7 linked regions of the Mus musculus genome follow. The protein of the gene in region 1 interacts with the protein of each later gene in a pairwise test. Links are inferred from orthologs where the notes say so. Each region holds a gene or a part of one and is shown on either strand. Other genes may lie near its edges. The genes, in order: Sdcbp, Kctd9, Hnrnpc, Pycrl, Srsf11, Tmem239 and Abi2.

What was found.
Region 2: the proteins of Sdcbp (region 1) and Kctd9 interact in binary tests that used the Homo sapiens proteins (3 or more experiments, as listed by UniProt). The two-hybrid records come from large-scale screens. The link is inferred for Mus musculus from reciprocal best matches to the Homo sapiens genes SDCBP and KCTD9.
Region 3: the proteins of Sdcbp (region 1) and Hnrnpc interact in binary tests that used the Homo sapiens proteins (3 or more experiments, as listed by UniProt). The two-hybrid records come from large-scale screens. The link is inferred for Mus musculus from reciprocal best matches to the Homo sapiens genes SDCBP and HNRNPC.
Region 4: the proteins of Sdcbp (region 1) and Pycrl interact in binary tests that used the Homo sapiens proteins (3 or more experiments, as listed by UniProt). The two-hybrid records come from large-scale screens. The link is inferred for Mus musculus from reciprocal best matches to the Homo sapiens genes SDCBP and PYCR3.
Region 5: the proteins of Sdcbp (region 1) and Srsf11 interact in binary tests that used the Homo sapiens proteins (3 or more experiments, as listed by UniProt). The two-hybrid records come from large-scale screens. The link is inferred for Mus musculus from reciprocal best matches to the Homo sapiens genes SDCBP and SRSF11.
Region 6: the proteins of Sdcbp (region 1) and Tmem239 interact in binary tests that used the Homo sapiens proteins (3 or more experiments, as listed by UniProt). The two-hybrid records come from large-scale screens. The link is inferred for Mus musculus from reciprocal best matches to the Homo sapiens genes SDCBP and TMEM239.
Region 7: the proteins of Sdcbp (region 1) and Abi2 interact in binary tests that used the Homo sapiens proteins (3 or more experiments, as listed by UniProt). The link is inferred for Mus musculus from reciprocal best matches to the Homo sapiens genes SDCBP and ABI2.

The regions. Positions count from the first base shown.
Region 1 is NC_000070.6:6,378,865-6,383,098, forward strand, and holds part of Sdcbp (syntenin-1), read left to right. Parts: intron 1-101; coding exon 102-183; intron 184-2,125; coding exon 2,126-2,235; intron 2,236-4,234. UniProt on the Homo sapiens protein: Multifunctional adapter protein involved in diverse array of functions including trafficking of transmembrane proteins, neuro and immunomodulation, exosome biogenesis, and tumorigenesis.
Region 2 is NC_000080.6:67,725,850-67,730,083, forward strand, and holds part of Kctd9 (BTB/POZ domain-containing protein KCTD9), read left to right. Parts: intron 1-477; coding exon 478-521; intron 522-2,800; coding exon 2,801-2,897; intron 2,898-3,374; exon of another isoform or gene 3,375-3,501; coding exon 3,502-3,560; intron 3,561-3,755; coding exon 3,756-3,884; intron 3,885-4,234. UniProt on the Homo sapiens protein: Substrate-specific adapter of a BCR (BTB-CUL3-RBX1) E3 ubiquitin-protein ligase complex, which mediates the ubiquitination of target proteins, leading to their degradation by the proteasome.
Region 3 is NC_000080.6:52,079,883-52,084,116, reverse strand, and holds part of Hnrnpc (heterogeneous nuclear ribonucleoproteins C1/C2), read left to right. Parts: coding exon 1-2; intron 3-2,213; coding exon 2,214-2,289; coding exon of another isoform or gene 2,290-2,328; intron 2,329-2,809; coding exon 2,810-2,857; intron 2,858-4,234. UniProt on the Homo sapiens protein: Binds pre-mRNA and nucleates the assembly of 40S hnRNP particles. Interacts with poly-U tracts in the 3'-UTR or 5'-UTR of mRNA and modulates the stability and the level of translation of bound mRNA molecules. Single HNRNPC tetramers bind 230-240 nucleotides.
Region 4 is NC_000081.6:75,915,641-75,918,972, reverse strand, and holds the end of Pycrl (pyrroline-5-carboxylate reductase 3), read left to right. Parts: intron 1-120; coding exon 121-300; intron 301-508; coding exon 509-721; intron 722-1,643; coding exon 1,644-1,736; intron 1,737-1,893; coding exon 1,894-2,076; 3' UTR 2,077-2,510; downstream 2,511-3,332.
Region 5 is NC_000069.6:158,019,245-158,023,478, reverse strand, and holds part of Srsf11 (serine/arginine-rich splicing factor 11), read left to right. Parts: exon of another isoform or gene 1-371; coding exon of another isoform or gene 372-528; coding exon 529-638; intron 639-1,426; coding exon 1,427-1,519; intron 1,520-2,053; coding exon 2,054-2,103; intron 2,104-4,039; coding exon 4,040-4,167; intron 4,168-4,234. UniProt on the Homo sapiens protein: May function in pre-mRNA splicing.
Region 6 is NC_000068.7:130,404,688-130,408,582, reverse strand, and holds Tmem239 (transmembrane protein 239), read right to left. Parts: upstream 2,062-3,895; 5' UTR 2,008-2,061; intron 1,874-2,007; 5' UTR 1,860-1,873; coding exon 1,404-1,859; 3' UTR 789-1,403; downstream 1-788. Other genes in the region: 1700020A23Rik (uncharacterized protein C20orf141 homolog), read right to left, coding at 2,565-2,802, 2,880-3,037.
Region 7 is NC_000067.6:60,433,484-60,437,717, forward strand, and holds part of Abi2 (abl interactor 2), read left to right. Parts: intron 1-759; coding exon 760-927; intron 928-3,572; coding exon 3,573-3,749; intron 3,750-4,234. UniProt on the Homo sapiens protein: Regulator of actin cytoskeleton dynamics underlying cell motility and adhesion. Functions as a component of the WAVE complex, which activates actin nucleating machinery Arp2/3 to drive lamellipodia formation.

The sequences.
Region 1 (4,234 bases):
GTTGTTAGTTTGTTCTGTAAAGTACTAGATTTAACATGTAAATAGTATAAGAAAGATGTAGATATTTTTGTTATTTGCTAAAATTTTCTTTTCTTTTCCAGGCTCAAACTGCTTATTCTGCCAATCCCGCCAGCCAAGCATTTGTTCTGGTGGATGCTTCTGCTGCTCTCCCTCCAGATGGAAGTAGGTTTATACTTTGCTCTTGGTGGGGTGGAGGGACAGAGATAAATATAAAGGCCTTCTTCTCCCCTGAAATTCAGAATCTGGGATTTTGTTTTGACATGTTATGGTTTTTTTTTTTGAAGAAATACTTGTTTAATTAAGAGTGATCTTTGCTCTTGTGAGACTATGCCGGGGCCTAGCAAACACAGAAGTGGATGCTCACAGTCAGCTAATGGATGGATCACAGGGCTCCCAATAGAGGAGCTAGAGAAAGTACCCAAGGAGCTAAAGGGATCTGCAACCCTATAGGTGGAACAACAATATGAACTAACCAGTACCCCCGGGAGCTCATGTCTCTAGCTGCATATGTATCAAAAGATGGCCTAGTCGGCCATCACTGGAAAGAGAGGCCCATTGGTCAGGCAAACTTTATATGCCCCAGTACAGGGGAACGCCAGGGCCAAAAAGGGGGAGTGGGTGGGTAGGGGAGTGGGGGGGTGGGTATGGGGGACTTTTGGGATAGCATTGGAAATGTAAACGAGGAAAATACCTAATTAAAAAAAAAAGAGTGATCTTTGAGTATGAAGGTGAGTCTTAGGGCATAATAAAATTCTTAGTTTGATTCATAATCTTTAACATAGTCTGTTCATTAGTGGGAAACACACTCTTCCATGGGACTACAGTTTTCCCAACTGCCGCTCTCTCCCGCATCCATCCTGAAATGCCTCTTTCTTACTTTGCCGGGGAACTCAGGAAGTTTCCAACTGTCTTCTTTTTGGGATATTTTTCAAAACTAGGAGTTGCTGTTCAGACTGGATAAACCATAGCCTGTCCTCCTTCCACCCTGAATCAGAGGCTTCAGGATAGAGCCTCTCTGTAAGACATGAAGAGACTAAGGAAATGATTAACTTAAGTCCCGGTGGCCTTACCTCTTCTCATGCCATCTCTTCACTTTATTCTTTGTAATGACTCTACTCTGAAATCAAAATAGATCATAGAAAAAGATTTTGGAAGAAGCTCACTTCAAAAAAAAGTTAACTAGTAATGTTTAAACCGTCTGTTTGTCTCATTTCGTTAGAATAAGCCTGTCAATCTTAAAGTGGTAGGACAGAGTCCATCCCAGGCTTTGACATTGTCCCCTATTACTTGAGGGAACCATCCCATCCTGTCCCATCGCTGTGTGTGGAGTGAGTTAAGTGGCTGAGGCACTAAACACTTCGGGGATTCTGAACTGAAGAGTCCGTGCCATAACCCCCCCAATTTTCTAAGGTTTTAGGATTATGTTAAAAAAGAGGGGGGGCAAGGTCATTTATTTGGAAAATTATTTTTACCTTTGAGTAGTTACCTCTCTGTGTCTTTTATTTCCATTTCTATATTTTATATTTGTACTGTGAACTTTTTTGCTATTTTTCTTAAGAGAAATCAGCAGCTCTCAGTGTTGAGTGGTATTGTGTAGGATGAGTCTCCAGCAGGGGTCAAAAGCAGACCGCATGACTCGCACAGGTCTACTGATGGCTAGATGACCGTCAGCTTTTAAGGTCTTGCTATCTAGCCTTGGCTGGTCTCAGATTTGTGGTAATCCTCCTGCTTCTGCCTCATAACTGGAGTCTGGGCTTAAGCCCATGTTGCCACCATGGCCAGCTTGAGACCATTTTAAATGAGGATTTGGACACCTGCACACTATGGTGGTCTGTGGTGGGTCCTGAAGTGCACCATGGCCGCAGACGGTGACTCTGGGTTAGAAAGCTAAGACGGCTTCGGATGGGTTTCAGAGGTTAGGGCTTTTGCATTCAAGTGGTTGTGGATTTTTTCATTCTAATTGTGTCAGAGATGGGAAGATATCCTTCCATTTTATGCATCTAAATCTTTGTGCCTTATTTTTTTTTTAAATTGAACACAGCAAGTTCATACTAAGTTGTTATTTTGAATATTCTGCCAATGCCTTTTTCTTTGTTTATATTAGATCTGTATCCTAAACTGTATCCAGAGCTCTCTCAATACATGGGACTGTCTTTAAATGAAGCTGAAATATGTGAGAGCATGCCCATGGTCTCTGGAGCACCAGCACAAGGGGTATGTACAGTCTGATCTTAAGTCCCACAAAATGTCCTTTATACATAGGTGTAAACCCATTTATAGGAAACTCACATGTTCATAACTTTAGGGTTGAACTGTCCTAAGATTATAAAATTCTTTCTAGAAGTATTTCTGAACATTGTCATCCACTGGTGAATTGATTAGGTCTTTGTCTTGTGCATTTTATCCTTCCCTAACCCGGCCCCTGCCGGGTTTCTGAGTTACTTTTATCCTTTCTAGCTGTATAACTGCACTGAGGTTTGGAATTCTGACATAGAGTTACTAAGTAGTACAATTATTTCTTAACATATTTCACAGCAAGTCTTGTTCCAGACATAATTTCATTCTGGATAGGTTAGTCACTTGAAGTATATAACTGACATATTATTTTGCTCACGTTCTTAATATTCCTCCTCCTGTAATTAGAAGCCATTTTTATTTTTATTTTTTTGTAATTAGACTGAGATTCTAGGTTTGAATGTAGCACATAGCTCTTGCAGTAATTATAGTTACAAGCTTCATGACTGAATCCACTTCTATCCTCTTGCTACTGCTTATGCAGTACCTGGCTTTTATATGTTGAAACTTCAATATTTATTGAAAGCTAACTTGCATTACTTATGGTCTTGACTGGTAAATTAGTTAATCTGCTTTGGCTCCTGGCAGGTCATGCTTCAGCTACCTGCCAGAGCTGTCTAGATTCTCGAATGAAAGACACACACACACACACACACACAGAGAGAGAGAGAGAGAGAGAGAGAGAGAGAGAGAGAGAGAGAGAGAGAGAGAGAGAGAGAGCGCATTATTTTTAATATGTCTAACTTGCTCAGTGGCTAGACACTTTCAAACCTCCCCGAGGTTGGGGCTAGCACATTCTCTCTTCTAACATTCCTGAATCGACTTGCTAAATGAGTGTTTCATCTCTGCTACCCAAGACCCAATTGAGAGAGCAAGCCTTGGACCACTTTCCCCCTTACATGCTGGTTCCTTTCTTTCCTGTAGCTCTTAGTCTGATCCCTCTGCTTCCCCGTCATGGCAGTTCTCCTCTCCTTACCCTCTCTCTCTCCCTTCTTTCTCAGTCTCCGGCTTGCACACAATCTTCTAATCTAAATGTCCCGCCTCCATCGCTCTGTCCAGCCATTGGTTATTATCAGTGCATGACTTTGGGAGCCAAAATAAGACAGAACATTAGAACTGATTCTCAACAATTATCCAGTTGATAAAACGGTATTTCAGCTGAAGTGATTTGAGAAATTAGATAAATGGTCAAAGATTTTCAAAGGAAAAAGTAGAACCCAGATAGAAGTGGCGAAAGCCAGCTGCTGCCCTAGGATGGAGTGGATCAGTGCTGGGGCCAGAACGCTTAGGGATGCAGCCTGTTGCAGCTTGGACCTAGGGGAGGGGTTCTAATAGTTGCAGCCTCGGAGCGGCTAGGCAAGTTGTAAGACGTGGCTCAGTGGCTACAGTGCTTGCTGCTATGCCAGAAGACAGCCCCAGAGGATATGACATCTTCAGGCATCCACAGAAGTGGCAAATACAGACATATAGATGAATTATATAAAAATAAATCTTAAAAAATTTAAAGTAAAAAATGTAAAGTCAACCAACAGTAAAGTAAAAAGAGGCATGGAGAAAACAAAAATGCTAGTTGCTATGTTTATAGAAAATTTATCTTCTAACAAAGAAAAAAAGCCAATTATAGCTATTATTTCAGTGTATCTGACTTCCTTTGCCCAGGTCTGTATACTTTGATCCCTTTATGTGAGCATCATACAAGTGTCCCCTCCCCATTTGTACATTTCTTGCTTTGAAGGTAATCTGAAGTTACTTTAGAAGTATCTGCATTTATAAGGCTCTGTGGTATACTCTGTTCTTATTCTATCGTTTTGTTTACTTAATTTGTTCTGCACATTTCTCTTAGCATATATTTCACTTAGTACATAATTCACTTCACATACCGTGTAGTTTTTGCTTTTGTGTTCCACTTAGTTTTTCC
Region 2 (4,234 bases), on another chromosome or scaffold:
ATGGTAGATGGGTGGTGAGTAGGTGTTTAGAACAGAGTTGCTCAGGTTTTCATTTTTTCAGGATTTAATATGACAGTTTGTTTTAATTTCTAAAGTGCCCAGCAGCTAATTATTTGAGAAAGCACTCCAATAATTTATTTAGAAGTAAAGAGTTCAAGACAAAAGTTGCCTGTGGCTTCAGTCATGTATTTTGAACATAAATTAGTGCATTCTTCAATTAATATATGCCAAATTCATAAATTTTGATAGTGAGTTTTTGGTTTGTTCCATTTAAAAAATACTTTGATATGCAGAATCAATTGTGTTTGATTTTTAGACCTGGTCAGGTTTAAACAGAGCCCTGGAGACAGTTTCCTTGGAGGCAGGTTGGTGACAAGGCTTGTCATGTGTAGCTCTGAGGAGCAGCTCAGACGAGCCGTCAGTTAACAAGCGTGCTTTCTGCTTTTGACTGTGGCTTTTCCGTTCTGGCTTTCCCAGGGATGATGATGTGCTGTTTGTGTGTGAAGGAGAGCCGTTTATTGGTAAGTGACTTTACCTATCTTTTCTTGCCACAGTAACAAACATGAAACAGTAAATAGCTTTACAAGGAACTGTATGACTTAACATTGAAAACATCATGATGACTAAACTCAGGTCTTCACATTTTTTTTTATTCTTCAATGAGTTTATGTCAAATTACATAGTTATACATAAGAATTATAATTATAGTCTATATATTTCCTCCTTTACGTGCTTTTAAGATATCCTAGATATGTACGTTTGTGACCTAGGACATGATAAGATAATTTTGATTTTAGAAATAATTTTCTTTGAAAGCAATGGCTAGCGTTTCTTTAGTATTATATTACTTACTTGTAGCCATGTTTTCCTTGCATAGTGTTTGACAGTCCTTTACTGCCGATCAGATCTTAACATGAAAACATGACTTGGCTTCAGCCACTATCCTTTCATTTGGAAGAAAGCCTATATATTTGAGTATCTCTAAAGAAAAGACCTAATACATAAGTAGGCAACTATTCTTTAACGACTATTTAGTTTGTTCTGTATATTCACCCATGGGTGTGTGTTTAAGTGTTTAAAGCATTACTGTCATTGTATTGGATGAGTAGAGGAGATCCTTAGGAGTCTTTGCTTAGGCAGTAGCCACATTAAAAGGAAGTGTTCTGGCATGTTGGTACTTGCTTAGGAAGCAGAGGCAGGTGGATCTCTGTGAGGTCCAGGATAGCCTGATTTACATAGTGAGCTCCAGGCCAGCCAAGGCTACATTGTAAGACTCTTGTCTCAAAGAAAAAAAAAAACAAAAACCAATAACAAAATAAATGTATAGCGTCTTCTACTTCCATCTTAAACTATGAGCAAATCTTTTCTCCATCATGTACCCACTGGCCTGATTGAAAGCTTATTTTTGCAGGCTAGTCATAAAAAAATCATTCATTAAGTAATAATAAATAATTAGACTAGGGTTTAATCCAGTGGTAGAACCAGTGTCTGCTATGTATAGAGATCTGAGTTCAGTTCCCTAACCTACTCCCCCCCACCCCCCGCAAAAGTAACAACAGTTCTGCTAGGATTTTGTTTATTCCTGTGACTTCTTGGACTCAGAAATATTTGATAAGCTTTCATCCTCTACATGTACTGATGTCTCATGTGTCTCATTCGGTCAGTGGAAACCTACTCGTTTTTAACTCAATGTCACTAGCCTTTCATGGTTCCTTTACCTCTAGTGTAATAAGGTGTTCATCTTTTTCTCTTTTGTTACAGACATGGAACATTATTGTTATGACTTAATGTCATGTTCAAGATACAGTCTGGTTATAATTGTTATAAGGCCTTTTGATGACTAGAGTTGGAGATATATAAGTAGCTAGAGATAAAATTTACATGTTATGCTGTATATTGTAAAGTTTATAACTTGAGATGTTTATGTTCTATAATATGATATAAAATATCTCATGGTTCATGCTGGATCTTTCAGGGTCTATTCAGGATTATAAGGTTTTTGCTTACCTTCTTGACTTTCTTGACTTTCTTTCCTATCTTCCATATTTGTAACCCTGATTTCCAAGAATTCAGAGAGTGATAGAATTATAATATCACATCCACTCTATCCCACTCAAAAACCACATAAAACTTCAGAGGAACAATTAATATTTCAATACTAATAGGGTCTTCCAGCAGCTTAACATATTTTGTCTAGTCTCCTGCCTCCATCTCTGTGTTAAAACGGTTGAGTTTCTACATTGTCAAGAGGTACATCAGTCATGTACTGACTGTCCCTCCTTCCCCAGTGCACTAGTGCTCATCTTCAGTGCTTGTGCCGTTCTTTCTAGTGATTGAAAGTACTCTGAGATTCTTCCCAGAGTCTTTGTAACCAATTTTCTCTGGCATCTTGCAATCTAGACAGTTTGTCTCCACTTGAAAGTCAGATGTAGAATCACATCAAAGTTTATCGAATTATAAACTTTAAGTATGTACATTTATGTCAGCTTTACAAAGAAGCACTTAAAAAATTATTGGCCCACACTTTCCTTTTTTGGGTATTGTAAGTAAGTTATTTCACTTTGTTATGACATAAAGGATGGCATCAAGAAATCTGGTCTCACGTGACTATTCCTGATCACCCAAAGGACTTCCTTCTCTTAGACTAGCAGCTTTGTGGACTCTTTCTTGGGTTGTATCTTCATGGTTGTCTTGGAACTTTGGTAGATTCATATGAGGTTTTGCTTTGAGAAATTATTTTACTATCTTCCCAGAATCTTTAATCTTAATATTTCTATTATTTTTTACTTGTCATCTCTAGATCCTCAGACAGATGCTAGACCACCTGGAGGATTGCTAGGATCCCACACAGACTGGCTCACATTAAATGTAGGAGGACGATACTTCACAACAACAAGGTAGGTAGTATGTGCGTATGCATGCGTGTGTGTGTGTGTGTGTGTGTGTGTGTGTGTGTGTGTGTGTGAAAGGGCAAAACAGAATAAACAGGACTGTGTACTGATTCCTTCAATTTTTCAATTTCCTTACAAGATTTTCAAATGCTTCCTAAAAATATGTGGATGAAACCATTTTTAGAAAGTTTTAAAGAAAAAATTTAAGTGAAGTTAACCTTTCATTTCAGAGAAAGCATAAATAAAGCATCAATTCAGCTTTACAGTTTGCTTTTTAGATGTAGTGGTAAACCAACTGCACATAGAAATTAGCAATATTTCTAGAAACAACAATGTATTGATCAGATAATATAAGATCAAGAATATTGTAATAAAATGTCTTGCTAGTATTTAAATAAAAAAGATTATAATGCAGCATGAAATCAAAGGAATGGCCAGATCAGAAGGGATTTTGGCAACTTACTGCACATTTTTGTTTCCCAGCATCACCCTACCAGGTTGTAGCATGCATCTCTTTGAGAGAACAGCTGAACTCAAGTGTACTCTTGACTTAAATATGTTTGTTTGTAAAGACACATGAAGAAATCAATTTTTTTCCCTGAATTCTTAGGAGCACTTTAGTGAATAAAGAGCCTGACAGTATGCTGGCGCACATGTTCAAGGACAAAGGTCAGTAGGACTTGTTCTCACTTTTTTGTGGTCCATTTTTATCTGAGCTGACTTTGTAACTGGCGTGGGATCAAATCGTTTTTATGGCAGTAAAGACATGATGGTATATTATGTGACTTTTTTTTGGTTTGTTCTACAAATTCTGACTTTGTTTTTGTTTATGGGGGGATTTTCTTTATTAAAATGGTATCACAGGTGTCTGGGGAAATAAGCAAGATCATAGAGGAGCATTCTTAATTGACCGAAGTCCTGAGTACTTTGAACCTATTTTGAACTACTTACGTCATGGACAGCTCATTGTAAATGATGGCATTAACTTATTGGGTAAGTATTTCACAGGCATGGGAGTACTGTAAGTATGGCAGTGTAGGTATCAGGATGGATAGGTAGTCTTTCTGGCTGAGTATCTTTGCTTATATGTTTCTTTAGCCCACAAATTTTTTATTTGGATTCTAAGTAGATTTAAGTTCTATCACAGGGGACTTTTATAGGTTGGTATTGTTTCTTTGGATTAAATGACTGTTTCTTCACTTTAAGTTCTGGACTTATTATTATTTGAATAGTGAGGTCACAAGGAAGAAAGAGTTGATTTGGGCTTACAGTTCCACAGGAAGAGTCCATCAAGGCAGGAAGGCGTGGCAGCAGGCAGCTGGAGCAGGAGGCTGGGAGAGCAC
Region 3 (4,234 bases), on another chromosome or scaffold:
AGGTGAGTTTGTTTGTTTGTTTTTAAGTTAAAGATCCTAAATATTGTGTTTTATTATGGCATTTTGTGCATATATATCAAACTGCTTCTTTTACATATAAACAAGCAGTATTTCTCACCTTAAATTTGTATATTTGTTTCAAGTCTGTAAAGGTAGTAGCCTTCATACTTGATGTGACAGTGTCTTTGTATTGAGCCTCCCCTCCCCCCTTTTGGTCGGCCTACATTAATTTCAGCATGTGTATTTAAGTTTTTTTTTTCTTTCTTTCTTTTTTAAGTAGATTTTATTCATCTTTTTTTTTTTTAAGATTTATTTATTTATTATATGTAAGTACACTTTAGCTGTCTTCAGACATTCCAGAAGAGGGAGTCAGATCTCATTACAGATGGTTGTGAGCCACCATGTGGTTGCTGGGATTTGAACTCTGGACCTTCAGAAGAGCAGTCGGGTGCTCTTACCCACTGAGCCATCTCACCAGCCCCTTTTCTTTCTTTTTTTTTTTTGTTGTTGTTGTGTTGTTGTTTTGTTTTGGTTTTTTTTTTGTTTTGTTTTGTCTCTTTTTTTGTATTTAAGTTCTTAACTGCATAGTTTATGGTGATTTCTAAAAGTTTGAAATACTCAGTCCTCACACTAGTAAGTTATCTCTTAGTTCTTAATTTTACATTTATTTGTACACAGTAAAATGGTGAAATTTATGCCTCTTTGTTGAAGAAATTTTTAGGTTTTCCTCTTTGTATTGGCTTGTTTCCTTTTAATTTAGCATGTTCCTTTTTATGCTTTTAGCATGTTTTTGTAGTTCTGGCAGATCTAGTGTAGTACTACTTTCTAGAAATGGGGAAGTGAGATTTTTTTTTAATCTTTTATTTAGGATGGCATAATGTCTCTGGGTAAGGCACTTGATGTCAAGCCTAAAACCTGAGTTCAATATTTGGACCCCACAATGTTGAAGAGAAGAAATAACATAGGTTTTACTGTGGCCTCCATATGCATATTTTGGCTGGTGTGCATATCATTTTATTTCACAAATTCTGTACAGTGTCTTGCTATTATCCACCCCAAATGTATGCAGTTGTATATGTTTTCTTTTACTTGCTTAAAAATATAAAAACATATAAAAATATGTTCCTTGGGCATATTAGACTTATTTTGCCACAGATCTCAGTTGTAGCCCTTTTATGTGTTTCAGTCAATGCTTTATAGGTTAGAATTTTTCAAGCAACACATACACAGAATCACTAACACTGTTAACTGCTTTGCTTCTATTAGTTTCCCACAGGTTCACTTAATCCTGAAACTTCTTGGGGGTAGGAGTGTATGGGTTAAGACAGGTTTTCTAGCCCTTGCTGTTCTGAAACTTACTATGTTGACCACATTGGCTTCAAGCTCCAATTGTGTTGCAATTAAAGCTGTGTGCCATCGTTTCTGGTCCAAGTTTCTTTTAAAAAGCAAGTTTGAATGTATTAAAACTACATAACTTTCTCTGGTTGCTGGTCTTGTTAGTTCTGTCTGTCCTTGAACTTGGCCTGCTTCTGCTGGGAATAAAATGTATAGCCTCTGGAACTTGAAAGTTTTAATATTCTCTGGGTTATTTTCATGGTTAGTGTCTGCCCTATGTTTCGTTGGCCATGCTAGTTGGGCCTAATACAATCTAAGGAAAAAATCCGTTTGTATTATTTTTGTTTTGGTTTGGTTTTTTGAGACAGAGTTTCTCTGTATAGCCCGTTTGTATTATTTATATAATCTTTATCTCCATACTAAAATACAAATGCTGACCAGTTCCCAAGATAAAACCATTATCCACTGCTGGTAGAGTACAAAAAATCAAAGAGAAAATGTTATGTTAGGACATTTTGGAATCTGACAGTCCAAAAAGGAAAGCTAGCTCTGTAAAGCTTAACCTTTTCTAAGTGAGGAGGAGAGCTAATATTACTAAGATTAGTCATTAGATAACAAAAGGCCTAGGTTTGCTTTGCTGGGGAATGAAAATACATACATACATACATACATACATACATACATACATACATACGCACGTGGGTTTTGGTTTTGGGCTTCAGAGACATTTCAGATGGTTGTGAGCCACCATGTGGTTGCTGGGATTTGAACTCAGGACCTCTAGAAAAGCAATCAGTGCTCTTAACTGCTGAGCCATCTCTCCAGCCTGGTTTTTGTTTCTTTTAACTCCTGTTGGGCTTTGTTTTCCTTTTTTCCAGATATTAACCTGGCTGCAGAGCCAAAAGTGAACCGAGGAAAAGCAGGTGTGAAACGATCTGCAGCGGAGATGTACGGGTCAGTACCAGAACACCCTTCTCCGTCCCCTCTACTCAGGTCCGGAACTTTATTATTTATAACTGCATTGTGTCCATCAGTGGGCATCTTCTCTGTGTTTTCTGGATGTGGGGAGGGTTAATGCAATGTGCTTTCTATGTGCAAAAGTGTAATTCTTATTAACTTGTGTTAGCATACTTCCCTTTGGGTCTGTTTTCAGATTTTTGTTGTTTAGGAATAATTCTATGTGTGTGTGTAGTACAAAATGAGGAATTGGTTAGTTTCTAGGAAGCTAGAAAATAAGGGCATTGTGGTGTAACAACTATTGTATTGCTTCTTCGCTGTTGCTAAATTAATCACTGCATGTCCAGTGGTCTTAAGATTACATGGAGGGCAAATGATTTCGTTGAATGAATGGGGATTATTTGTTGCTAATCTTACTGATCTATTTGTTGTGGTTTGTTTGGCCTGTTTTCACCCCACCTGCCTGTTGAATTAACAACAGCAGCTCCAAAATAATCTTTTGAAATTTATCTTTCAGTTCCTCATTTGACTTGGACTATGACTTTCAACGGGATTATTATGACAGGTATGTATGAGGCTTCTCATATGTGTTTATGATGATAGTTAGAAAGCCAGGCACTGACTTTTTAAAGCAATAAAAAGATTCAAATGCTGCTTTCTTTTTTCTTTTTGTTTTTTTTTGTTTGTTTGTTTTTCAAGACAGGGTTTCTCTATGTAGCCCTGGCTGTCTTGGAACTCACTCTGTAGACCATGCTGGCCTCGAACTCAGAAATCCTCCTGTCTCTGCCTCCTGAGTGCTGGGATTAAAGGTGTGAGCCACCACGCCCAACTTCAAATGCTGCTTTTTATGCAAATAAAGTTAATACTTTACCACTATGATGTTTGGAAATACAAATGTCAGGTTTTCTTATGCTAAATAGAGATTGTTGAAGAAGGCATAAGAAAATTCACAAAATCCAATTTGTTTTATTCTTGTGTATTTTCCCACACAGTGATAAGTGCCTGCTAACAAAGTGAGAGGACAAAACACATTGCATATGTACCACAGCAGGGAGAGTCAGAGAATTTTCTTTTCTTATAGGAAACAGTACATTAGTAGCCAAACATAGCATGCATCACAGACATATACTTTATAAGTTTGTGCCTGGTTCTTCCTCCCAGCTCCATGGTCCTTAAGTAAGACTCACACTCAATATATTTACAATACCTTGGCCTTATAGCTAGGCTCTTCTCTGACTAGATCATAACTTATGACCCATTTACTCTAACCTACATTCTGCTATCTGTCTGGCTACCTTTGCTCAAGTGCCATGTGTCCATTGTCACATCTTCCTAAGCAATTCCTTGTGCCTCATATTATCCTAGAATCCTTTCTGTCTGCTGGATGTCTTACCGCCTATTTCCTATTCGATAGGCCAACAGATTTACTATTAATAGATACTACATATATATACAGACATAAGATATTTTCTCTATTTGTGAGGTTAAGCTCTTATATCTACCTCCCAACAACTGGAATTAGAGGTATAGTTACCATTTCTAGCTCTATTTACAATATTCAAATTTTTTTCTCCCTTGTGTTTGGTTTTACTCTTTGTAGCACTTTTTTTTTTTTTTTTTTTTTTTTGGAGACAGGGTTTCTCTGTGAAGCCCTGGCTCTTAACATTTCCTCTAATACACTGTAATTTCCTGGCTTTTGTTTTAAGAGACTACCTCTAACTCTAGCTGGCCTTGAACCCACTGAGTTTGCCTCAGGGATTTAAGGTTAGCACTGTCCCGCTCTTTTTTTTGAAAAACAATGACAAGCTTGGAAGTCTTAGGGATTGAGATAAAAACATCCTGAATTCAGGTACTAGGAAGATTCTAACCGATACTTTGCCCCAACCCTAAATTGGACCTCTGACGAAAGAACACTAATATTGAAAAGATCTCAAAGGACAGT
Region 4 (3,332 bases), on another chromosome or scaffold:
GAGTACAGCAAGTACAGACATTGGTGACCCACGGGATACGGAATGGTCGATGGCACGCAGGTCAGCCTGTGTAGGATGCTGCCTCACACAGCCTCATTTCTGGCCCTTGTGTCTCTTTAGGCTCTGGGTTGCCAGACTACTCACTCCAACCATGAGGTGCTGCAAAACTGCCCACTTGTCATCTTTGCCACCAAACCCCAAGTCCTGCCAACTGTCCTGGCGGAAGTGGCCCCCATAGTCACCACTGAGCACATCATCGTATCTGTGGCTGCTGGGATCTCTCTGAGCACAATGGAGGGGGTGAGTGGCCCCTTGGTGTGAGTAAGGCCTTGACTCTGAAACAGGATCTGTGGCCCATACTTGGGAAGGAGATAGCATCCCAACCAAGCACCAGAAGTTAGCCAGTTGGCTCACCAGGGTTCAGTGGCTGGGATAATGTTCTGCCAAGGTACCTGGGCAGTGGGGATAGAGGCTGCATTTGCCTGACGCTGAATTCTCTCCTATCCAGCTGTTACCCCCGAACACACGAGTATTGCGAGTCTCTCCCAATCTACCCTGCGTTGTCCAGGAGGGGGCCATGGTGATGGCCCGGGGCCACCATGCTGGGAACGATGACGCAGAGCTCCTACAGAACTTGCTGGAAGCCTGTGGGCAGTGCATAGAGGTTCCCGAGTCCTACGTAGATATCCACACCGGTCTCAGTGGCAGTGGTGTGGCCTTTGTGAGTATTGTCTCAGAGTCAAGCCTTGGGGGCTTCAAATGATCCCCCTGTGAGCTCTGCTGTCCCTCAGAACATCATGTTTTATTGGACCATCGAGGCTGGCTCCTTTACCAAACTCTTGGGTATAGGCCTTATAGTCTAGGTATCTGTGACCATGTTTAGGGCCGTGTTTCTTGTGATTCTGAGCTAGTGGTTCTCAACCTTCCTAACGCTGTGACCCTTTAATACAGTTCCTCATGGTGTGGTGACCCCCCCCCCCAAGCAAAAAAATTATTTTTGTTGCTACTTCACAACTGTAATTTTGCTACCATTATAAATTATAATGTAAATATCTGTGTTTTCTGATGGTCTCAGGCCACCCCTGTAAAAGGATTGTTCAACTCCCAAAGGGGTTGATAGGCATTTTCTCTCCCTTGGTGACACACAGGCCAGATTAGACCAGATTAAAATGAAATAAAGGCAGATTTATTAGGAGGCAGCTCTCCAGGTGAGTTAGTCAATCTCACAGGTAGAGGTCAGTAAAGTCACACATCCAGGCTAATCAAGCAAGAGGGTTTTACAGAGCTTAGGCGAAGCACGATGACATGCCAGCTAGGAGCTGGGCTTGTGTCCATAGCATCCGAGGTCAAAAACTGAGCCCTTGGGTGGGCACTCGTGGGTGGGTTGCCAGAAGTGGAGAGACAAGGAGTAATGACATGTTTCCGGATGAAGGAGTTTTCTGTGTGGGTGGGATTGGAGGAAGGAGAACACAGACATGCGATTTCCCAGCTTGCACGGGTGGGCAAGCAGGGGTTCCAGCCTAACGGAGTCACGAGCCACAGGTTGAGAACCGCTATTCTGAGCATTCTCTAGCTGTGAACTGTGTCTAGCAAAAGGTCAACTTTGACATGACCCCTCCCCACTCCCAATGCTGTTGCTACAGGTGTGTACATTTTCAGAGGCCCTGGCTGAAGGTGCCATCAAAATGGGCATGCCCAGTGGCCTGGCCCACCGCATTGCTGCTCAGACCCTGCTGGTGAGTGAAGCCTTTCCTCGGGAGAATGTCGGGAAGGTTTGAGTGTGAGCTGTCTCCAGCGAACTGGAAGACGAGCCTGTGGAGTCCAGACAGGCTGGGAAAATGTGCAGCTGCCTCCCCTCTTTTTTCTCTCACTGCCCTTAACTCTCCTCCTTAGGGGACAGCCAAGATGCTGCAGCAGGAAGGGAAGCACCCAGCCCAGCTTCGGACAGATGTGCTCACACCAGCTGGAACCACCATCCATGGGTTGCATGCCCTAGAGCGGGGCGGTTTTCGAGCGGCTACCATGAGTGCGGTGGAAGCAGCTACCTGCCGGGCTAAGGAGCTCAGCAAGAAGTAAGGCAGGCCTCAGATGAGACTACGGGCTCCTTGCCCAGCTGCAGCCTCTGTGGTGAGAATAGCCCTGGACGGGAGATGTAGTGGGCAGTCCTCTAAGTGGAATGGCTAATTTATCCAAGAAGCGGTGACTACTTGTAAGATGCTATCAAGACGGGGTTGCCTTGACTGTGACATTCAGTCAAGGAAGAATCGCTTGCCCCTTACCTGAGATTCCAGATCCTCCCTTCTGCACCTCCTGGCCAGTTGCAGTTGTGTCCTCATGGTCACAGGAGCTGGTAGAATATGTCTCCTGTGGAGGTGGTAGACATCATCCTCCATGCTGGCGTGAGACGTCTTTGGTTGTGGCTGCTTTGGGATCACCCACACTCCGTAAGCAGCGCCCCGTCCATATTCTCTAAGCCCAATAAACTCATTGGTTCTCTAAGTTGGACTTTAGTAGAGTTGTACTTTGGTTTGGTACCGTATAAAGAGAGGGTAAATATTTATATTTCCTCAAGGAGAATTCCTACAATACTGGGCACTAGCCTCCTTGCTTCTCTAGGTCACCTTCATCTTCCTATTGTCCCACCTCTAAGGACCATGGGGTCTCTGTCCATCATGCAACTGTTTTCACTTCCTCTACACTTGGAAACAGTATCCCGGTCTGCAGGCCTCCTTACCCCACAGTGGCAATAACCCTACTGACATAATTGGTAATGTCCGGTCTCCAGTGCCTGAAAGCTGGCCTGGATTTTGGAAGCAACAAAGCATCTTCTGCTAGCTACTGATCCTGGTCTGGAGCCCTGGCCCTCCTCTTGAATTTCCGTGGGACTTCTCAAAAGCCAGTGGTCACACTCATGAGGATAGGGATGGGAATGGCAGAGGAATAGATGCCACTTGCTGCAGAAGTTCCCTCCCTCTCCATGAACCCAGAGCCTTGGCCCATAGGAGGAGAGAGTCCCCAGTGGAAGCTGGGAAACCCACCTGAGCAAGCATGCCCTTCCACAGTTGAGAAGCTACAACCACATGGCTCCTGTTGCAGAGGTAAGTCAAGGGGAAGAGCTGAGCTGGATATAGGCTGCTTCCTTACTGGACCTAAGCCGGCTCTATGGCAGGTAGAGCTTGAGTCTCCAGAATTCTGGCTTGGGTCAGGAGTCCTTGAGTGCCCTATAGCCCTGGCACTGCCCTGGCAGGATTTGACTCCATAGGATTTGAAAGGATATCAAAAAAAAAAAAAAAAAAAAAAAAAAGATTTGATATTGTTTCCTGTACCAGCAT
Region 5 (4,234 bases), on another chromosome or scaffold:
ATTTTTACAAAATTTGTATGGTAGGTGTAAAGAAAATCATAGTAACTGTACCATATTATTAACCCCTAAATCAAACTTTTTTTGTCTTGTGTATCTTGATTTTTCTGTGTGCTTTATAGTGAAGCAGCCGACACGAGTCGTTGTTCATAAAACAGCTTTTGAAAGTTGAGAGCACACCCCTGGAGAACCGACTGTGCTTGCTTACGTTTGGTTCATGACTTAAAAATCGAGTACAGGTGATGAAATCTTGGCAGTGTTAACAAAACAGTAGTGTGTATTGTGCTATTTTTTTTTACTCTAGAAACTTAACCATTGTAGAGAAAAAGGAAACAAATTTTCACACATTGAAGTTTCATTCTGACATAAAATTAATGATAAATAATCATAGAGATCAAACTTTATATTTTAGCGAACATAAGTACTTTCAACAAACTCAGGTGGTGTATCAGGGAGACATTTTCTGGGTGTTTTTGTGTGTTTTCTGTCTTCAAAGAGAGTGTGTTCTCATGCAAGGATGTTTCTCTGCAGGAGTTATTCCTGATGAGACTAAGGCTTTGTCTCTATTGGCACCAGCTAATGCAGTGGCAGGTCTTCTGCCTGGTGGTGGACTCCTGCCTACCCCCAACCCACTTACCCAGGTATGGCCCCATTGAATTTAGAAAGGGTATGTTTAGTGTTTGAGGTAGTATTTGACAATAGACGACTTCAGCACATGAATGGAAAGTCAGACTGCCTCTGTAAGACTTTGCATGTTTGTGTTGATTTAATTGTGGTTTAACTAAAACTTCTGTCAAGAAGACAGGATCTTGGCAGTGTAAATCAGGAAAAAAAAAGGGGGGATGATTAGGGAATAAGAGTTACCATACATCTAATGAGTGACTAGCAGTCCTGTGAGGAACAGTGCTGCACAACAGGAACACAAACATTTTGACCAGAGGACTTATTTAGTATTGAGATTTGTACTTGATAATGCTAAAACTGGGAGAACAGGATATGGGGGCTTCCAAAAGAAGCCTCTACCTTAGTATCCAAACAGACAGTAGACAGCATGCATAAATGACAGCAGCCAGAAGAAAAGTACTTAGGGTCCTGTCATCATAGCACAGAGCTGGTTTTCATTGAGGATGCAATTAGTACTTAAGGCTATATTGAGAGGGCCATTTCTCTTTATAGATCATAGAGAATTAATGTTTTATAAGAAAATGAGAGGTTGACCATCATATGGACAGGTGTGAGGAACTACAAACCACAACCCTCATTTCTGTTGATATATTTTTACTGGGACATAATTATGTCCAGTTTTTAGATAGTTTATACAGCAGAATTTGAACCATGGCAGTAGTACTTTTATAAATGAAAAAGTTAGTGTCTAGCCCAATACTGAAAGTTAAAGATGTTTTATATAATAAACCCTTACCTGTTGCAGATTGGCGCTGTTCCCCTGGCTGCGTTGGGAGCTCCAGCTCTTGATCCTGCCCTTGCTGCTCTTGGGCTTCCAGGAACAAACTTGAACTCTCAGGTATATCTTACTACCTTTCATTTGTGAGCTTGTGTTTGTAGGGTATTATTTCATTAAACCTTGGTTTGCATTTCAAAGCAAGGGTTAGCTGATTGTGTTGTAATCTTTTTACTCTGTTGACTTATTTGAAAGAGATTTTTAAATGACCACTGAATTACATCAGTCATTAATCCTTGACACATTTAGAGAATATTTTGTTTCTTGGAGTTTGTACTTTTTAGAGATGTTCTGTTACTCTAAGGAGTTTCAGATTTTCTATTTTAAGTCTTTAGAATAAGCAAGAGCTGATCCTAATAAACCCAGACTGCTCAGCCTTACTCTTGATAATTTGCTTCCCTCCTCTTCTATAGGCTTAGCCACAAAGTTACCCATTGTTAGAATTCATAATTTGCATTTTACCTTTTTGCCATGGATATACACAAAGCATTGCACTTTATAGGTTGCCAGTTTGTCCCACAACTTTTCAAGAAACTTAAAATAACAGTCACTTATTGCTGTGTGTTCATTGTCTTTTTTTTTTTTTTTTTTTTTTAGTCCCTTGCTGCAGACCAGCTATTGAAACTTATGAGTACTGTTGATCCCAAGTAAGCTTTCTCATTTGTATTTGTCTCTTTTGGTTTTATACTGTATAACTGTCAAAAGAACACTTACTTTTGTTTTCTTCTTGAGGTACATATAATATAGTTTTATATGTAATATATTTTATATCTGTGTAATATAGTTTTGCCATATGTTCACTATGTGGTCAAGCCTGAACTCAAATTCCTGTCCAAGTGCTGGGATTCCAGGCATAGACCACTATACCAAGTTAAGAATAGTTTCTCTGTTATATATTACATTGTAGAACAGTTACAGTTAACAGAAAAAAAAAATTAGCTATTCCTAGGACATGCTTGGTGTATAATTATAGATTATATTGTAGAAACAAGAAAGGGAATCCAAAAATAAGGGTTTTGAATGTTTCCTAATAGTTGTGAGTGGCTTGTTATAGTGTGAAAGTTGTATTTTGATGATTTATACAAAATACACATTGGAGCCCATGCATGGTGGTGCACATCTTCAATATCATCAGTTGAGGGACAGAGGCAGGTGGATCTCTGTAAGTTCGAGGCCAGCCTGGTCTATAGACTGGCGACATAATAACCTGACTCCAAAAAAAAAAATCAATAAAAAGCACAAAGGATTTCTGTAATCAATATTAAGCATTTATTGTGGCAAAGTACGTACATTGAAATGGGAAACATATAGAAGTGCCAGGGGGAGGGACCACAGAGAAAAAAATCTTGGGTTTTAGATCAGAGTCTGGGCCCTGAGGGAGGTAGAAATTGGAGAAGGGGGCTGGAGAGATAGCTCAGTGGTTAAGAGCACTGACTGCTCTTCCAGAGGTCCTGAGTTCAATTCCCAGCAACCACATGGTGGCTCACAACCATCTATAATGGGATCCAATGCCATCTTCTGGTGTGTCTGAAGACAGCTACAGTGTATTCGTCATATATATGAAATAAATTAAAAAAAAAAGAAATTGGAGAAGGAAGAATATATTAGGGGACTAACACTACCATGTCTTATAGGTACTTTTACCCCAGTACTTAGAATTCTTTTCTCCTTGATAGATAACAGATTTGTGGGGCTTTTTCCAATGTAGCCTAATTTGGAGGTAGTCAACATCACTATTAGTGAGTAGAGGAACATTGCAGGACAAAGGACATGGCTTAGTTGATTAATATCCCCACAGCCCAGCATATTAGTAGCACCAATACATAATGGGCTCTTATGCTCACTCTCATATAGCCTTGGCTGAGATCAGGCTAGCTATCCTAGAGCTCATAGAGATCTGCTTCCCTCTGCCTCTTGTGTGGTAGGATTAATGAGTGTACTACCACACCCAGCACTCTTTCAAAAAAACTTGTTTTGTTTTGTTTTGTTTTTTTTAAATCTGTTTAGCGCAGTGGTGTGCATGCATACAAGCTACAGTGTGTATTCGGGTTAGGACGGTTTTAAGGAGGTTCACAGTCATTAGACTTAACAGCAATAGCCTTTGCCTGCTGGGTCTCAAGGGCCATTTGTGCCTGTTCTTGATGACATCCCTCTCCACTGATAACTGAGGTTGTCTAATTTATTGGATTTGTTTTTGCTTTTTCCCTTGCATGTGTAAGCACTTAAACACAGATCATTACCTTTTGTGGTTAAGATTTCATGTGTAAGTTTATGAGCTATTGACCAATGCCTTAGTTTCTTCCCATCTGTAGTCTAATACGTAATGCTTTCCCCTAAATCCTATGGTGAAAGGTTAACTTGAGCATCAATATGTTCTCTTATACTAGCATTTTCCAAAATAAGTATTTTCTTACTCCAGGTCTCTGTAAGCATTGAAAGTGGCACTTCACTGCATGCTGCTTATTAAAATGGTGGTTCCCGGTATTTTGCTTTCAAGGATTATTTACAAATAATGATGGTATGTGAAACATACCTGTTTACTTGAAATGGAAGCTTAAATTTTAAACTGTTTTCTTGCTCCAGATTGAATCATGTAGCAGCTGGTCTTGTTTCACCAAGTCTGAAGTCAGACACCTCTAGTAAAGAAATAGAGGAAGCCATGAAGAGAGTGCGTGAAGCCCAGTCCCTGATTTCTGCCGCTATTGAGCCAGGTAAAATGCTCATACACATGTTAAATTTTAGTTCTTGGTAAAGCTGGTAATGGCCTACATGTAGAAG
Region 6 (3,895 bases), on another chromosome or scaffold:
AGCAGGGATTGGGTAGAGGTCAGCAGTGGATGAGGACTGAAGTCTGGGCCCCAGCTGGGGGCAGATCGGCTAACATGTCTGTCACTTGACTTGGTAACTGATACTCACAGCTTTGTTTGGAAGGCTCAGCGCTAGGTAAATGGCCAAACGCCAGGGGAGCCTGGGTGGTCCAAAGCCCTCTGGTGGAAGCAGCCTGCTTAATCAATCCTGCAAATCTCTGCGCTTTCCTTTTTCCATGAGCACAGCATTGCACAAGTTCCCTGGCACCAGGCTCCAGCCTCGAGCATTACACAGATCATACAGTCCAGTGTCTGCCTAGCTTGAGACACACACCTTGCACATCTCACCACACTGCCTATTCCGTGTCAACTGTTTTAGGGCTGGGATTCCATGAGTGACAGAGTTTCTGTAGAAGCCTAGAGAAATTTAATCTCTTAGCTTCTGAATCAAAAGGCCTTTTGAACTTATATGTTTTTAGAGCTCAAAACATCTTAACTGCTGTTTGGCCTTACCAAATACTTTTCATAAAATCAGGCATGGTGGCACAAGTTTTAATTCCAGTACCCTGGACATAGAGACAATAGGATCCGAAATTCAAAGTCACCTCAGCTAAATAGTTCAAAGCCATCCTGGGCTTCATGAGACCCTGTTTCAAAACAACAACAGCAGCAAAGTATTTTGCAAATAGATACTGACTTTTGATCATAACAAACCCATGAAAGCATTGGGGCTCACTTAACACCAAGGTTCAAAAGTAGTGAATCAGCCAAGATGTAGGAGGCTGAAACAGGACTTTGATTTTTTTTGTAACAGACCTGGAGATTCTTAAAAAAAAAATAAGAGTGTGTAGGGTGGAGTGTATGCTTATGCACAAAGCCTTGGGTCCACACACACACACACACACACACACACACACACACACTATCATGATTGGCCTCTTTCCCATTTCTGAGAGGTGAGTGAGGTGAGATCCCTAGCTATCGTCCTGGCAGTGAGACCCATTCCAGAGTGTGTGTTCCTCCTGGAAGTAGAAAGAGAGGATCCGGGACAAATCCAGACAAGTCCAGGGGTATGTAGGTGGAAATTCTCAGGAAGCCTGAAGCTGGTAGGGCTGAGGTGATGTGACTAAAAGATTCTGCCAGGAAGACCAAGTGATGTTACCACATCCATACGGGTGCTCTCAGTGGTTGGTCCAAGCTCTTGCTCCTGGCTAAACTGTCTGTCCTGTTCCTGACACCAATGTGGGTTTAAGGTAGATGCCCAGAAGCCAGACCCCCACTTGTATTTGTGATTGGGGGGGGGGGGGTCTGAGGTCTGTTGAAGTTCCACTGCCCCCCTCCCCACGGGGCTCAGGCCCTAGGCCAGGGCTCAACAGACACAAGCAGTAAGATGGGGTTGCCCTTCTATTGGTCCAAGTCCTGAGCGTAGCCTGGTTGAGTCATGGAGGTGAGCAGGCCCACGAGGCTCAGCAGTGTGGAAAAGAGCAGCAGGAAGGAGGCTGCGAAGAGCAGAGCAGGCAGGGCACTGAGCACAAGCAGCAGGATTGCTGGCAGCAGGTGGCTCCACATCACAGCCACCACGGGCCATAGCGAGCTCAGCAGGTAGGAGCCCGTGGTGAAGAGTGCGTGACATAGCATCAGTGCCAGCAGCAGGTAGAGTGTCCCCTCCAGACCCCACAGCATCCGCTGTAGTGGTTGCCGCCAGCCTGATGTATTCCACCACTGGGTCCAGCTCCGAGGTATGTGGCATACCCACCAGCGCACCCAGTCCTGACGGATGATCCAGGCTGACCAGGGCACTGCCCGCTGGGGCCCCTCGCCAGCCCCGATGATATCCGACTCCACTCGTGGCTGCTGCATCACGGCTGGTGCACCTGTGGACAGGGCCAGGCCAGCTGCAGGGGGCAGCCCTTAAGATGCCCAGGACCTCTGGATAGGTGGGCATGCAGGGGTCAGGGGGATACCAGCATGGGCAGGATTGGACTTTGAACTGGGGCCTAGGACTTACCTTTGGGCAGAGCCACCTAAGTCATGGTGCTTCCTGTTGTGTCTAGGCTGGCCTGGCAGCCAGATCCCAGTCTCTCCCTCGCCTGCCCCACCATCCCCAGAGGAGTGCATTATGACCCGGACTGGGGTGGGGCTCAGCCAAGAGAGGAGCTACTGCATAGTGTGAGAGTCACTTATGTCCTTTACTTAATGGTCCCTCCAGGCTAGCAGGAGAGCCCAGCAAGCCTACCATTCTTCTTCTTGTAGGAAGCCTTCCCCACACCTGTCCCTCCTTGATGGCTGCTTCCAACCCCATGGCTGGAGTTGGTTGCTGTAACTACCCTTTTCTCTGCCTTCTCTTAATGCCCTAAGCTTCAGGCAAAGGTAATATGCCTTTGACAGTTCTCAAATGTCCACATTGTGGAACTAGAAGGCCCTGAGGTTCAAGCTGAATATGATGGAGTATTCTGTCCTTATCACACAACCTTACCCTCATGTAGCTCAGGATGGAAGAGAAGAAATCTGAGAGAGCAGATTGGATGTTGTATTTTCAGAAGGCATTCAGCTTTAGGAGGGCCCTCAGGCCCAAGGATGGATACAGAAAGCTAGGCCCAGCATGGCTAAGGGTATACCAGAGCCTCCCAAGAACAGGCGCAGGCCCAGGAACAGCAGGAGCAGCGCATCCTGCAGGCTGAGCAGTCCCGAGGCCATCTTTGTTGGAGAGAGGGGAGCTGCTTGCTGTCCTGGGCCTTCACCAGCCCCCTGGCTCTGACCCATTGGGAGAAGTCTGTGTCGTGGCAGGTTGGCACCTGTGGGCCTGTGGAGAGAGAAGATGGCAGCTCGAGGCAATTGCTCATTTGTGTTTGTGACACCTATCTGACAGGTGGCACTTACCCATAGAGCAGGTCAAAAACAAGGAAGCTGGTCAGCAACAGGAGCAGCAGGGCTAGGCCAGCCGTTGAGAAGATGGTTCGAATTGTCACTCCTAGTGCCCCCAGCCCTAGGATACTGTCCAGGAGCTGGGCCTGGCTGAAGTCCCAGGGGGGGCACATGACTCGCTGACCCTACTCAGTCCCTCTCCAGGATCCAGACCCCTGGGAAGGAGTGGGATGGCTTTAGAAGGGCAAGGGTGAGCTGAGCTGGGTCCTAGAGGTTATTAGGAAGACCTAGTGCTAAGAGATTAGGGATCAGGGAAGAGAGGAGGGCCTTGGCAGACACTCAAGGGTTAGCTCTGTGAGTAAGGAACTAAGCTTTTTGGGGATCTCCCTCCCCCCACTCCCACCCCACATCTTCACCAACTCTCCTCACCTCCTCCCACTTGGGTGACCATTCTAGATTTGGACACTCTGGGGCATTGTGACCTATTATCAGGGAGGACCTTGAATTAAGGACAGGACAACAGTTTGCTTTGCCTCATAAGCACTGGTGGCCTAGGTGGGGCTCAGTAACAAATCAGTGTTTTCTGAGAACTAAGACTCAACTCACCCACTCACCTTGCCAGTAATTCTCTGCACCAGGGACTTCCCACCAGTCTTGGGATGTCAGGAAAGCATGCTAACACAACAGCTGCTTGGACTTCTGCATCTTCCAGAACATTCTCCAGACTCTGTGTTTAGGATGTCATTCAGTCATTCAATTTTTCTATGTCCGGTTCTCTTCCCTGAAAGTGGGGTGAGGGCTGTGGGGCTTTGTTTGTTTGGTTGTTTGGTTGGTTGGTTTGGTTTTTTTCGAGACAGGGTTTCTCTGTGTAGCCCTGGCTGTCCTGGAACTCACTTTGTAGACCAGGCTGGCCTCAAACTCAGAAATCTGCCTGCCTCTGCCTCCTGCCTCCCGAGTGCTGGGATTGAAGGCGTGTGCCACCAAGCCCAGCTGGCTGTGGGGCTTGATGGTAGTGGGAAAACATGTTTGCA
Region 7 (4,234 bases), on another chromosome or scaffold:
ACTCTTGTAGTTTATATTAATGATGGCACTAACATACAGGGTTTCTGAATCAGAAACATGGATTAGCTTTATTATACACCACAGAATCTTCCTGTAGGTGGCAAAATAAAATATGTTGGTCTGCAGTAACCTGGAAAATAGTCATTTGGTTACTTCTTGCTGCATAATCCCTGTTTTTCAAATAAGGCTTCTGGGTTGTGGAAGTTGTGAGATAGGTGCTACTGACTGCTAAGAAAGGGCCGACATTGGCAATTTCTACCCCATAAGGCTGTCTCTTAAATGACATGAGAACAGAGTAGCCTCGCATTTTAATTTTATAATTATTTTTATTATCAGACATTTTATTTATCATTATTAATACTTTGATCAAACACATTTTGTGTGTGAGAATAAAAGGAAATCAAGAGAAAGTAGAATAAGTATTTGTGCATTCATGTCAGTGCTGCCGAAGGAGTTAAATTGGGAAGATGTGTATGTGCTGTCATTGCTCAAAGTATACACTGGAACTCAGATTTTAAATACTAGCTTTAGAACTTTATTTGTACTTACATAAAAATGTATATATAAAAATGTATAGTTATCTTGAAAATATCAGTGAGCTCATTAAATCATTTAGTTTTGGAATTGTGTAACAATGATGTTTTTCAGAATATTTTAAACTTGGTATAGGTTTAGTAGCATTGTGGTTTAAATGACTAAGTTAGTTTGCTAGAAGTTAATTATCTTTAAATTGAAGGTCACTATTTTCCTCCTTCACAGTCACCAGATAAGCAGCGAGCCCTAGAAGAAACCAAAGCCTACACCACTCAATCCTTAGCAAGTGTTGCGTATCTGATAAACACCTTGGCCAACAATGTCCTACAGATGCTGGATATCCAGGCATCACAGTTACGGAGGATGGAGTCTTCAATCAACCATATTTCACAAGTGAGACCATGTTCAGTTTGTTTGCCTATGAGCAACACACAGCTTGTTGACTTGCCTTTGTTGTGCAGGTTAATGTGCATGTATTTGCAACATATTAACTTAGTATTGCATTGTTTATGATTCTTTTTGTGATGTTATCTTTTTTAATTTAATTTTTTAATATATTGTTTTACTTACTCACTTTATGTCCTGCTGTGATGTTATTATCTTTATAGTTTGACAGAAAAGTAAATTTTGATGGATTTTATTAAAACTCAGTTGCCACAGTCACATAATCACTCCTGAAGTGAAAAATTATTTTGGTATTTTATTTTATTTTTGGTTTTTTTGAGACAGGGTTTTTCTGTGTCACTCTGGCTGTCCTTGAACTCACGGAGATCCACCTGCCTCTTTGTCCTGAGTGCTGGAATTAAAAAGAAGTGCACCACTACCACCCAGGTTTTTTTTTTTTTTTTTTTTTTTTGACAGATTTTTGTTTGTTTGTTTGTTTGTTTGGTGTCTTTATTGCCTTAAAAATAATGATTTGATAGCTTGGTGGCTAATTTAATTTTTTTCTCCTGTCAGTAGGCTTTTAAAATTCCCCTTTGGTGGTTTAGTCAGTGTTTTATTCCTGTGAGAATAGTGTCTCATGTTGAGCACAGCAATTCTTATAAAGGGAAGCATTTGATTGGAGCTGGCTTACAGTTCAGAGGTTTAGTCTTTTATCACCATGGTGGGAAGTACAGTGGCAGACAGTCAGACATAGTGCTGGAGAGTAGCTATGAGCTCTGTATCCAGATAATAATGAAAAGTAGTTAATGACACTAAATATCTGTTCTTTGGCAGTGTCTTAGAGATCCACTGTAATGAGGCCCCATGACCCAAAGCAACTTGGGGAGGGAAGGATTTATTTTACTTATACTTACTTATCTCAGTTCATCATTGGAGACAGAGCAAGAACTCAAACGCTGGGGCAGAGGCTTAGAGGGGAGCTGCTTACTGACTTGCTCCTCTTGGCTTGCTCAGCCTGCTTTCTTATAGAACCCAGGACGTGGCAACAGCCCGATCTTACGGAGACATTTTCCTCAATTGCGGTTGCCTTCTCTCAGATGACTTCAGCTTATGTCAAGTTAACATAAAGTCTAGCCAGTGTAGGCAGTCACAGTTGTTACTTGAGTAAGTAATGCAAGAAACTAGTTAGAAGTTTTTCTAGATCTCTGGTATTTGATCTTGGCAATTCTACCCTCAGGGAGATGCTTGGCAACATTAGACAGTTTGGCTTATTTCAGAGTGGGGAAGTATTATAGGTTATGTCTACCCATCACAGCACAGTAACGGATATGACTCAAGTTTGACTCAAGTCAGTTATCTTTCTGTTGTATTGCCTTAAAAATATTTGTTACTTATAGATTACAAAATTATAACTTATGTGAAATGCTATATTAGTGTTTCATGAGAAATGTATTATTTGTTAGCAAATAATTAAAGAATATAAATAAAAATATTATTTGTACTATGAATGTGAGCACTTGATAAATTCTAATGAAATATGTGATCAATGTTGTGTTAATAAGATGTAAGCAACTTGCTGAAGCTAACAAGCTTTTCTGTCAAATGATGGTTTTGAAGGGAGGAGGTGGATGCTGGGAATTACGTCAGGGACTTGTAAATGTTAGGCAAATGGTATACTCCCTCACTCTACCCCTTGATCCCCATTTGTAATATTTATATTTTAGTCTTGTTCCTTCTTTGTAGTATTTAAATAATATTAGATTATACTAATATGTTTTTTAAAAATATAACAAGACTATTCTCTGCTGTTTCTTTGTTTTTTGTTTTTATTGTTTGTTTTTTGAGATAGGGTCCCTCCACATAGTCCTGGCTGTCTTTGAACTCTCTATGTAGAGCAGGCAAGCTGGCCTCAAACTTAAAAGATCTATCTGCCTCAGCCTCTTAAGTGCTGGAATTAAAGTCATTTACCACCATGCCTGGCTTCTTATTTTATTTATATTAATTTATTTATTTTTCTTTTCTGTTGAAAATGATCACTCTGGCTTGGAGAAATGATTCAGTTGCTCCAGTCTTTGCTGCACATCCATAAGGCCTTGAGTTCTGTCCCCAAGCCCATGGAAAAAGATGGGTGTAGTGTGCACTTGGAATCTTCATGCCAGGCGGCAGAAACAAACAGGTGCCTGGGACTAGGTGGTCAGCCAGCTCAGACACATTAGTAAGACCTGTGTCCTAGTGGGAGACTCAAATAAACAAGGGAGGCAGCTTATGGAAAATGATACTCAAAGTGGACCTCTGGTTTCCATATGCACAAGCATGTATATACATATGTACACCCCTTCCATGTGAACACACACACTAGCACCTATATGTGTGTACATATTTGTATAGGTATTTGTGCAGACATGTACACATGCACATTCTAAGTTCTGCTCTTGTGGGCTGTAAAAATCAGGTGATGTTCCAGGTTATATTTGAAGGCATGCTTTGGTGACCCTTGCATTAGGTTAAAAATGAATAAAGACAATAGTCTAGAGAAAAGGTGGTTTATGAAATGAATACGAAGGATTGTTGAATCTCTAGGCATTTGGTTATTATTTATTTGGATACCAGGGCTATCTGTCTTTGTGTTGTCTTATTTATATTATATCTTACAGACAGTTGATATTCATAAAGAGAAGGTTGCAAGAAGAGAAATTGGTATTTTGACCACCAATAAAAACACTTCAAGGACCCATAAGATTATTGCGCCAGCCAACCTTGAGCGGCCAGTTCGTTATATTCGAAAACCTATTGACTACACAATTTTAGATGACATTGGACATGGAGTGAAGGTAGGTGTAGTTTCTGTCAAGCTTTCTAAAGCTCTAATGGAACCCTAGGAAATTAAAGTTCATTTAATTGCCTGAAGGACCAACTCTTGGCACAGTTGTGGTTGTGAAGGTTGCTTACTATTGTTGTGTCCTCCTTATGTTTTCTTTACTGTTACCTTTCAAACCAGTTATCTTCTAATGGTATTTGCTTAGTTAATCACTAGATCAATTAGCGTATGGTATAGTGGTTCTAATCTTTTAATGATTTAGTAATGATAGGAAAAAAATCCAGCATATTATTAAAATGTTTTTCTTATCTCAAAAATATGTCAGCAGATTTTTGGCATTAGTTTTCAGAACAGCATATGTTACTAAATATGAATTTGAATTTTTTTCTAGAATAATTTTATCTCAACCTTTTGGATGAGAATAGTGGAGCTAAAAATTGTAAATTTATTTGTGGTGACTTTAAATTTATAACATTTTATATTTTGGTCACCTTTTAA